Linked DNA regions of Macaca mulatta. The protein of the gene in region 2 interacts with the protein of the main gene of each other region in a pairwise test. Links are inferred from orthologs where the notes say so. Each region holds a gene or a part of one and is shown on either strand. Other genes may lie near its edges.

The links.
Region 1: the proteins of CCDC33 (region 2) and PTK6 interact in a two-hybrid assay, tested with the Homo sapiens proteins (2 studies listed by BioGRID and IntAct). The two-hybrid records come from large-scale screens. The link is inferred for Macaca mulatta from reciprocal best matches to the Homo sapiens genes CCDC33 and PTK6.
Region 3: the proteins of CCDC33 (region 2) and GRN interact in binary tests that used the Homo sapiens proteins (3 or more experiments, as listed by UniProt). The two-hybrid records come from large-scale screens. The link is inferred for Macaca mulatta from reciprocal best matches to the Homo sapiens genes CCDC33 and GRN.

What each region holds. Positions count from the first base shown.
Region 1 is NC_133415.1:116,406,660-116,410,308, forward strand, and holds part of PTK6 (protein-tyrosine kinase 6), read right to left. Parts: intron 2,631-3,649; coding exon 2,477-2,630; intron 1,703-2,476; coding exon 1,541-1,702; intron 1-1,540. UniProt on the Homo sapiens protein: Non-receptor tyrosine-protein kinase implicated in the regulation of a variety of signaling pathways that control the differentiation and maintenance of normal epithelia, as well as tumor growth.
Region 2 is NC_133412.1:52,149,582-52,153,804, reverse strand, and holds the start of CCDC33 (coiled-coil domain-containing protein 33), read right to left. Parts: upstream 2,808-4,223; 5' UTR 2,423-2,807; coding exon 2,402-2,422; intron 1-2,401.
Region 3 is NC_133421.1:68,729,179-68,732,211, reverse strand, and holds the end of GRN (progranulin), read right to left. Parts: coding exon 2,954-3,033; intron 2,721-2,953; coding exon 2,594-2,720; intron 2,395-2,593; coding exon 2,297-2,394; intron 2,210-2,296; coding exon 1,964-2,209; intron 1,740-1,963; coding exon 1,506-1,739; intron 1,414-1,505; coding exon 1,183-1,413; intron 1,094-1,182; coding exon 956-1,093; 3' UTR 646-955; downstream 1-645. Other genes in the region: protein FAM171A2, read left to right, coding at 1-22. UniProt on the Homo sapiens protein: Secreted protein that acts as a key regulator of lysosomal function and as a growth factor involved in inflammation, wound healing and cell proliferation. Regulates protein trafficking to lysosomes, and also the activity of lysosomal enzymes.

The sequences.
Region 1 (3,649 bases), on a different chromosome or scaffold from region 2:
TCAGAGGAGGGGCCGGGGCAAAGGGCAGCTGGCCTGGTTGAAAATTGGAACTGCAGGTCAGCCACCGCCCTTGTGGAAGGCAACTGTGTGTCAAGAACCAAGGAGCAAGCCAGGTGTGGAGGCTCACGCCTGTAATCCCAGCACTTTGGGAGGCTGAGGCGGGTGGATCATGAGGTCAGGAGGTTGAGACCATCCTGGTGAACACGGTGAAACTCCATCTGTACTAAAAATACAAAAAATGAGCCGGGCGTGGTGGTGGCGCCTGTAGTCCCATCTACTCGGGAGGCTGAGGCGGGAGAATGGTGTGAACCTGGGAGGCGGAGCTTGCAGTGAGCCGAGACCGCGCCACTGCATTCCAGCCTGGATGACAGAGTGAGTCTCAGAAAAAAAAAAAAAAAAGAACCAAGGAGTGGTTCCTAGTGGCCTAGCCCAGCGATTTCCTTTCTGGAAGTTTGCTATGACGCGGGAGAAGCTCGACGCGGAAGGACCAGCGAAGAAGCTCATGACTGCGTGATGTAGGCGGCGGGAACTTGAGCAGGATAATGGCTGAGTGACAGCAGCATGCGGCCTGGTGGTGCCTGTTAACCCCCCGTTCCGTCGCGGAGGACCCTGAAGGGCGTGGGGACTGTCTGAGATGATCACGGAGCCTTTCACTCAGAGCTCAAACGTGAGTGGCACCTCAATGTAGCTCTCCTCAGACACACACGGCATTTTTCCTCCACCACAACGTTCCCTCCCATTCTAACATTGGAATCCAAACTGCGTCTTCACGCACGGGCATCTCAATTCCCTGCAGCGATTGTCTTTGATTTTGGTGATAAAGGAAATAATGGAACTTAGAGACGATGAAGTCTTTGAGCCAATGTGATCTGTGTGTGTGTGTGTGTGTGTCTGTGTGTGTCTGTGTGTGTGTGTCCGTGTGTGTGTGTCCGTGTGTGTCCGTGTGTGTGTGTCCGTGTGTGTGTGTGCCTGGTGTGTCTGTGTGTGTGTGTGTCTGTGTGTGTGTGTGTGTGTGTGTGTGTGTGCCTGGTGTGTCCATGTGATCTGTGTCTGTGTGTCTGTGTGTGTGTGTCCGTGTGATCTGTGTGTCTTGTTTGTGTGTCTGTGTGTGCATGTGTGTGCATGTGTGTCTGTCTGCATGTGTGTCTGTGTGTATGTGTGTGTGTCTGTGTGTGCCTGGTGTGTCCGTGTGATCTGTGTCTGTGTGTCTGTGTGTGTCCGTGTGATCTGTGTGTCGTTTGTGTGTCTGTGTGTGCATGTGTGTGCATGTGTGTCTATGCATGTGTGTCTGTGTGTGTGCGTGTGTCTGTCTGTGTGCATGTGTGTCTGTGTGTGTGCGTGTGTCTGTGTCTGTGTGCATGTGTGTCTGTGTGTGTGCATGTGTCTCTGTGTGTGTGCGCGTTTGTCTATGTGTCTGCGTGTGTGTGTCTGTGTGTGTGTGTGTGTGTGTGTGTGCGTGCAGACGTGGGGGTGTGTGTGCACTTTATTTCCTCGTGCACCCCCTTTACCTCCAGCGAGAGCCCCGGCCCGTGCCACTCACCACGAAGCAGCTCCAGCAGGCTGCCCTTGCCCATGAGCTCCGTGATGATGTACACAGGGTCCCCCACGGACACCACGGCGTACAGTGCCAGGATGTGTTTGTGCCGCAGCTTCTTCATGGCCTGGATCTCCGACTGCAGCGTCTGCTGGTGCAGGAGGTTGTCTGCGGGGATGGGTGGCCTTGGCAGGTGCAGCCCCTGACCCTCCCCTGGCCCCAAGGAAGAGGCCAAGGCAAGGCTCTGCCCACACACTCAGCAGCTGTGCAGAACACCGGACCTCCTGCCCCCGACAGGGCACCTGGCTCCTGAGGCCACAAAATGGCGGACACAGCCGGCCCCACAAGCCGCCAGCCTGGCATACCCATGGGGCCGTGGTGGCCCCCCAATGTCTTCCTGCGCCCGGCCCAGACCTCTGACGTGGAGGCCAGACCTCTGCTGGGGCCCAGGCAATTTCCAGGGAAGCTTTTCTTTTTGAGAGGGTGTCTCGCTCTGTCACCCAGGCTGGAGTGAGTGGGCGCCATCTCGGCTCACTGCAAGCTCCGCCTCCCGGGTTCACGCCATTCTCCTGCCTCAGCCTCCCGAGTAGCTGGGACTACAGGCGCCCGCCACCTCGCCCGGCTAGTTTTTTTGTATTTTTAATAGAGACAGGGTTTCCCCATGTTGGCCAGGCTGGTCTCAAACTCCTGACCTCATGATTTGCCCACCTCGGCCTCCCAAAGTGCTGGGATTACAGGTGTGAGCCACTGTGCCAGGCCTGAAATTTTCTTTTACAATTAATGTATTTAGGTAAAAACAGGTGCAGTTGAAAGGGAACCACTCCTGCATGGGTGCTGTGGGTGCTGCGTGGGGCTCGAGGCCAGAGGTCCCTGTTGGCGGGGCGGGAGGGTGGCCCAGGGTGGGCACGGGGCCACACAGAGCCCTGACCGGGGCTCACTCACCTCGAGAAATCACCTTAATGGCCACCTGGACCCGGTCTTTCCAGAGCCCCTCGAAGACCTCCCCAAAGTAGCCAGACCCCAGCTTCCTGCAGAGCGTGAACTCCTCCCTCGGCCTCTCCCAGTCATCCCAGTGGGGCAGAGGCTCAGGCTCATGCTGGAGGGAGAGTCGGGGACACAGGGCAGGGGCTCAGGCTCACGCTGGAGGGAGAGTCGGGGACACAGGGCAGAGGCTCAGGCTCATGCTGGAGGGAGAGTCGGGGACACAGGGCAGGGGCTCAGGCTCACGCTGGAGGGAGAGTCGGGGACACAGGGCAGAGGCTCAGGCTCATGCTGGAGGGAGAGTCGGGGACACAGGGCAGGGGCTCAGGCTCACGCTGGAGGGAGAGTCGGGGACACAGGGCAGAGGCTCAGGCTCACGCTGGAGGGAGAGTCGGGGACACAGGGCAGGGGCTCAGGCTCACGCTGGAGGGAGAGTCGGGGACACAGGGCAGGGGCTCAGGCTCACGCTGGAGGGAGAGTCGGGGACACAGGGCAGGGGCTCAGGCTCACGCTGGAGGGAGAGTCGGGGACACAGGGCAGGGGCTCAGGCTCACGCTGGAGGGAGAGTCGGGGACACAGGGCAGGGGCTCAGGCTCACGCTGGAGGGAGAGTCGGGGACACAGGGCAGGGGCTCAGGCTCACGCTGGAGGGAGAGTCGGGGACACAGGGCAGGGGCTCAGGCTCACGCTGGAGGGAGAGTCGGGGACACAGGGCAGGGGCTCAGGCTCATGCTGGAGGGAGAGTCGGGGACACCAGTGGGGCAGGGGCTCAGGCTCATGCTGGAGGGAGAGTCGGGGACACAGGGCAGGGGCTCAGGCTCATGCTGGAGGGAGAGTCGGGGACACAGGGCAGGGGCTCAGGCTCATGCTGGAGGGAGAGTCGGGGACACAGGGCAGGGGCTCATCCTTCAGGAACTGCCAGTCTGAAGCCAGCGCAGGGAGCCTGGATTTAGCCTCAGATTTAGGGCCACGTTCAGCTTGGGTTGGGGGTTTCTGAGTGTCTGACACGAGGCTGGACTCTCCCGGTGGCTGCCCCAAGCCCAGCACAAAACACCCGGAGAGACTGAAGCCAGGACCCTGCAGAGTGCAGCTGGCCTCTCCGAGAGTGGCCAGGCCCAGGGGTGGTCTCCTGGCC
Region 2 (4,223 bases):
AAGGAAACAAACTCTTCCACCCACGCCTCCCTTGCCACCCCTCTCCTCCAGCAGTCTGGGAGGCCTGAGGAGCTGAGCCCGGTTCTGCCCTCCAGAAGGACCCTGCATCTGAAAAGTCACACCAGCTGGAGAGGGGCTGGGCTGCGAGGCAGGGTGCCTGACTGCCCGGATCTGTCATTTAGGCGAGTTATTTGACTGCAGTGGGGCTATTTCCCAGCAGTTTCACAAGGACTTTCAGTTAAAAATGGTTCCCCATGTTCCTTCTAGCTTTGGCATCTAAACTTGCCTGGGAGTTACGGTGGTCAGGGGAAAGCTCTTTTTCAGGTGAGGAAGCACACTCAGAGAAAGTAAACCTCTTGCGTGAAAGCACACGGCTTAGCTAGTGGGGCCGGGGCTGGAACTGGAAGCAGGGTCCGTCTGACCCCACGCTCTTGCTGTCTCTGCTGTGCTCTGACCATGCTTCCTTGGATGTGGGTCCCTTCTCTGCTCCACAGTGGATACCCCGTTGAACTCATAACCTGAGTATCCATTGGTGGCAGCAAGAGGAATTGTGTTCTTTGGAGCAGAGAAGCATTCCCAAAGATGACACAAAAGTCAGAAATCATTAAAAAAGGATAGGTTTGATTACATTTAAAAAATCTATACAAACTTCTGTAATGATCCAAAATGCCCTGCAATACAAAGAAAAGGAAAAAAGGAGAAAATGTTTGCTATATATTTAAAAAAGGATTAATATCCGTAGTATACAAAGAGCACTGAAACCTATAAGCATTACCCAATTAAAAAAACATGAACTGGGTATTCACAAAAGAAGAAACACAAATATATATATTATATACATGATGAGCATCCTTTTTTTTTTTTTTTTTTTCTTTTGAGACGGAGTTTCGCTCTTTGTAGAGACAGGGTTTCAACATGTTGGCCAGGCTGGTCTCAAACTCCTGCCTTGGCCTCCCAAAGTGCTGGGATTACAGGAGTGAGACACTGTGCCTGGCCAACATCATTTTTTTTTTTTTTTTGAGACGGAATCTCACTCTGTTGCCTAGGCTGGAGTGCAGTGGAACGATCTCGGCTCACTGCAACCTTCATGTCCCAGGTTCAAACTATTCTCCTGCCTCAGCCTCCTGAGTAACTGGGATTACAGCTGTGTCCCACCAAACCCAGCTAATTTTTGTATTTTTAGTAGAGACGGGGTTTCACCATGTTGACCAGGCTGGTCTTAAACTTGCCTCAGCCTCGCAAAGTGCTGGGATTACAGGCGTGAGCCACCCCCCCGGCCATGATGAGCATCCTTATGGGCGATTCTACCCAGCTATCAAAGTGCTTCTCAAAGCTACCAATCAAAGCAACCTTGGCTCCTTCTCAGGACTCCCACGCACACTCCCTGGATCCCCAATCCCAGCTATGTGGGGCAGGTGGGGACCACCTGGCAGCTTAGGGTGCCAGATCAAACTGGTGCCTGGTCCTGAGTGTGTGGCATTACAGAAAGAGTCTTAATGGGGAGGGTGGAGTCTGCGGAGGTTCAGGGGCAGCTGTGGGCAGAGAACATCAGGAACCAGAGACATCAAAATCAAGGGTAATAAAGTGGAAATCACACTAAGGCCTGAGCACCCCCAGCTATTTGGCTTATTCAAGCTGAGTATAACTACAAAGAGGGTATTCCCCGTTTGCAAGTACCGATGTGCCTTTGGTCTCAGCTCCTTCTGGTATCCCTGTGGGTAACACCATCTAGGGCAGGGGCTCTGCCTTGCTAGTGAGAGGAAGGTAAGGGGTCCCTTGCACTGAACTGTTTATATCTCATTGCAATAAGATTCTAGTCCCTTCCTGGCAGAACCCTGCTGCTAGGCCACAGCTTTTTATTAAGCACCCACTATGTGCCAGGCACTGTTCTGAGTGCTGGGGATACAGAGATGAACAAAACACACAAAAATCCCTTCTCTCCAGAGACCCAAGCATCTGCGTTCCAGGGCAGGGGCCTAGGCCCCAGAAAATCAGGGCCAGGGCTAGGAGAGCATGGGGGCAGTGGGGGCATCAGGGCTGCCAAGGTAGCAGCCTGGGAATATCCTGGGAGATATTGGATGGGGGTAATGAACCATCTCAGTGGGCTCTCAGACTGTGTGACCCCAGCAACAAGAGGGCAGAAACAAGCAGGTAAGGGTGGTCAGCACTGACAACACCCGCAAGTACACTGCATTCCAGTTCCCACGTGGCCCAAGAGTATAGGGCAGCTAACCTGGGAGAGCCACAGAGACCGCCTCACTCCCCATTTCACAGCTGTGAAAACTGAGGCCCAGAGAAGGGAAGCTTTTGTCATGATTAAGGAACAAATGAAACTTTGAAGGAGAGACTTTGAAGGAGGGATGGATTCATGCAGGTGTGTGGCCCATTCCCCTGGCCTTACCTTTTTGTTTTTCAGTCCCATCCTCTTGAGGCCAGGAGTGTCTGGCCTTGTTTAACAATCTTGGGGACGAGTACCTGGTATAAGTGGGTGATCAGGCATCAGTCCTGCCCAGACAGTTGGCCTGGGCGTCTTGGAGTCCTTATGGTTAGTGGACAGTATGGAGGTCAATGTGGTCTCAGGGGTGCCACACACCAGCCCTGGGGTCTGGATGTTGGGGAAGGGGGAGGGTGGCCAGGTGGGGGCAGGTCCTCGATCTCTCAGCAGCAAGATGGTCTATGGGTGGAGGGGCCTAGGGGGTTGCAGGCCATGGCCAGTTGGACAGGGTCAGCAACGAGGCGATTGACTCTTGGCACTCCCAGGACGGTGGAGAGATGGGAGAGCCCTCTCTCTGCCCAGGCCTGGAAAAGCAGTGAGCTTTTCCACCTAGCTGGGTCACCTGGGCAACATTGTGTGATGTCACAGGGCAGGGCCAAAGTCACACAGGCACCTGTCCAGGTGCAGTGAGCTAGAACACGAATCTCTTTTCCCTATTCCTGGAGCTGTGTTCCACCTGCCGCCTGGCACTCAGGCCTCACCCTTCCTGTTCTTGGTGCCTCACATAGTCTCCACCGACCCTGTGGCATGGCCAGCCCCATGCCGCTCACACTGCAGCAAAAGAGGAAGCCAGACACTGCTCTCAAGAGCGTGGCAGCTTGATCGGTAAAACAGCTACTTCTGTTGAAGAATCTACCAGCCATCGTGCCTCTTTGGGTACCTATAGTCTTCCATTTATTTGATAATAATAAACACAAACTTCAAGAGGATGGTTTCTTCTGGGAGGGTGGGTGGGAAGATGGGGGAGAGAAGAGGGTAAGAGCATACATTCTAAACCTTTGGGTTTTTAGATTGGGTGGTCAGTTAATGGGAGTTCATTATATTATTGAAAATAAATTAGAATTAAACAACTAAAGAAAGCCATGATGGGCCAGTGATGGCACTAGAGTATGAACCAAAGATTGTGGTTCAGTTCTGAGTGCTGCAAGAAATTATTACGAAGACAAAGTATGTCTTTTAGTGGAGCATTTGCAGCACACCAGGCAGGGTTCTAAGTGCTTTTGGTGAGGTGAGATGGCAGAATGAGGAGAGGCTAGTCGTTGGCCTGGGGTGGGGAGTTGTTCTATAGAGAGGTGAGGTCTGAACTGGGCTTTGAAGGATCATCAGAAATCCTGGGCTAGAAGAGGAGGGATCTGGGGTGCTGGGTGGTGGTCAGAGGTGTTTGGGAGGCCCCTGTGGCCTGCCTCATTTCTACCTATTTTGGGCCCCATGTTGGAGATTCTTTTAATCTGGCCGAAGAGCAGGACCAGCCTGGCAGCCAGGAGGCAGAAGACTCCTGCTTTGCAGAGGCCTCCCAGCCTCCCTCTCTACCCCCCCTCCAGAAAGAGCAGCAGCGAGGATGTGGTTCTCCCCAGGTTAGAGACAGAAAAACTGAGGCTTTGTCTTTGATTAGAACTGAAAGGACCAGCCAAGACCACCCAGACACTGGTGGGAGATGGAAGTCGGGAACCCCACTCCTAATTTTCTCCCCGTCTAGGCCTGCCAAGAGTGGTACCGCTGGGGCTCTGGGACTGGGGGCCTGACCAGGAATGGCCTGGCTGTGAGCACTGTGCTTTATCTCCCTTGTGGGCCAGCATGTCCCAGCACAGTGTGTATGTGTGGAAAGGTCTCAGGGGCTGCTCCCCCAGTCTCCCTAAAGCACCTCTCTCCCAGCCTCTCAGGCCTGCTAAGTCTAGGAGGCTAGGCCAGCAGGGTGAGGGGGTGGGGAGCCATTGCTTCTTCTCCAGCA
Region 3 (3,033 bases), on a different chromosome or scaffold from region 2:
GATGGTGTTCAACGTCAAGTAGCGCCGGCGCCGGGCCTGGCACCGCCCCTCCCGCGCGAGCCCGCACCCAGGGTGCGCGCCCCCGGGGCCTGCGGGGGCCCTCGCGCGTAGCCCCCAGGCCCAGGCTGGAGAGGGGCCCAGGGGCCTTGGAGCCGTTCCGTGGTAGGTGCTGGGTTGTGTCTTGCAAGGGACCCTGTGTCTGCCTCCAAGCCGGGGAGGAAGGGGGGTCCAGCCCCCAAGGGGAGGTGCCGGGGAGGAGGGCTGGGGGGAAGCAGTGCCTGTGTAGACGTGGCTGTACATAGAAAGCTCTATTGTGGGAAAGCAGGAGGGGTGACCCAGCCTCAGCTGCTAGTGTGAGGGCTGGGAAGGGAGGGGGCGTTCTCTCTGGACCCCTGGGAGGGGAGGGGGTGCTGCTTGCTGACTAGCCCATCTCTGGGCTACGATGTCACAGGGCTGGTGGCTGGGACAGCTCTGGGGACTAGGGGGTAATGTGATACAGCCGATGTGGGCAGCAGCAAATACAAAACTGGTGAGGTTAAGGCTGTGTGTGTCTTTCTGTGGGGTAGGGGAAGGGAGTGTTGGCAGTGGACATGAACCCTTGCTCTGGGGCCCTGGGGAGGGCAGGCAGGGCGGCAAATCAGACACTTTTAAGAAAGTGTACAAACTTTATTGGAACTCACACACGCACACACACAAACACCCCTGTGGATAGGGAAAAGCACCTGGCCACAGGGTCCACAGAAATGGGGAGGGGATGGCAGCTTGTAATGTGGCTTTTGCCACAACCCCTTTCTGACAGGGAAGGCCTTAGATTGAGGCCCCACCTCCCATGGTAATAGGGAGCTCAGAATGGGGGCCAGGGAGAATTTGGTTGGGGAGAGGTGCTAGGGAGGCCTGAGCAGAGGGCACCCACCGAGTGGGGTACCGAGGGCTGCAGAGTCTTCAGTAGTGTCCCTCACAGCAGCTGTCTCAAGGCTGGGTCCCTCAAAGGGGCGTCCCAGCGCAGGGCCTCCCTGCGCAAACACTTGGCGCCCCTGGCTGCGCAGCGGAAGCCAGCAGGACAGCAGTGGCGCCGATCAGCACAACAGATGCCCTGGGTGGTCAGAGGGGGGTGAGAGGGTTGGATGAGGTGGGACCTGGTCCCTGGCCATACCCAGCCCCAGGGTGGGGGATGGCACTCACCTGGCGGTAGGGACAGCAGGCCCAGCCCCCTCGGTTGTCTCGGCAGCAGGTCTGGTTATCATGGCAGAAGTGCCCTCCCCCACACTCCACGTCCTGCACACCCACGTGAGGGCTACGGGCCAGGAAGGTGGCAGGCTGGGCAGAGACCACTTCCTTCTCGCAGGATCGGGCCTTCACGTTGCAGGTGTAGCCAGCCGGGCAGCAGTGCTGGCGATCCTCGCAGCACACAGCCTGGCGGGGAAGGGAGCACAGAATGGCGTTACATTCCTGTCCCCTCGCCGGGCTTAGCTCCCCTATCCAGGGGCAGGCAGGGAGGTACTCACGTGGGGCAACTGGCAGCAGGCCCAGCCCCCACCCAGGCTTGGGCAGCAGGTCTGCCCCACTGGGCAGCTGGTGTGCTGGTCACAGCCCATGTCTCTGGGGTGGGATAAGGAAGCCTGGCGGGCAGGCATCTTCTCCAGTCCAGCCACGATCTCGCTTCCCCGCTGACACCGCCCCTCGGCTACACACGTGTAGCCCTGGGGGCAGCAGTGCTGGTGGTCCGAGCAGCAGACAGCCTGGGGGGTGGGCAGGAAAGGGCGTTCTAGGTAGTCACTATGTGGGGTGGGGCACAGTGCCGAGCCCCTACCTACTCCAGCCCGCCTCTCCTGCTTACAGCACCTCCAGCTGGGAACGAATCTGACAGAGCTGGGTGTCACCTACTGGCCATGCGGAGGGCGGAAAGCAATAGGAGTTTGGCCACCCACCTGCCCAGGCCACGATGCTGTCCCCTCCCATGTACCTCTGGGACTGGACAGCAGCCCCACTCTCCAGACATGAGTTGGCAGCAGGTATTGGAGGGGGGACAGCTGGTGACATTATCACAGGGGACATCTCTCTTCAAGGCTTGCGGGTCTGGCAGGCTGAGGTGAGCTAGGGTCTTCTCCATCCAGGACACCTGGTAAGTTCCCTGTTCACAGGTACCCTTCTGCGTGTCACACGTAAACCCCGCGGGACAGCAGTGTATATGGTCCTCACAGCACACAGCCTAGGGCAGATGGAGAAGGGCCAGTGGGCACTGGGGCCCAGTTGGCTGCCACACTGCTCAGCGCACCCACCCACCACCCCTGGGTACCTGGGTAAAAGGGCAGCAGCCCCAGGCCCCCGACTGTAGACGGCAGCAGGTATAGCCATCTGGGCAGCTCACCTCCATGTCACATTTCACGTCTCCCACTGTGAGGGAGGCAGAGAGGACAGATCAGAAGTGGCACTGGGGACCCTCAGCGGTATCCACCCTTTGCCGGCTCCACAGCTGGCACCAGGTGTTGAAGATGGAGGGCACCACCTACACCACCTTGCAGTGATCCTAAGGCCAGGCCTAAAAGGGAGGAAAGAGGGCCCCACCCCTGTATCTGTGCCCTGCCTCTGGTACCTGTTTGTGCAGGCAGCTTAGTGAGGAGGTCCATGGTAGTGTTCTCCTTGGAGAGGCACTTACTCTGGATCAGGTCACACACAGTGTCTTGGGGGCAGCAGTGCAGGTGGTCGGAGCAGCACATGGCCTGGGTGGGGACGGGTGAGTCTTTGTCACTTCCAGGCTCAGCAGAGCACAGGGAGCAGCCAGGCTGATGGCTGGCACTGCCCCAATCCTCCACTAGGGGGTGGCATGAACCCTGCATCAGCCAGGCTCCCAGCAAGCAGCCAGCCAGCCCCATGCCCCAGAGCCCCGTAAGGTGCATGTCAGGGCCAAGTGGCTGGGGGCACACAGCCAAGCTGGCTCCAGCCCCTCACTCACATTGGGCATTGGGCAGCAGCCATACTTCCCACTGGGCAGCTCACAGCAGGTAGAACCATCAGGGCACTGGGACCGTGCAT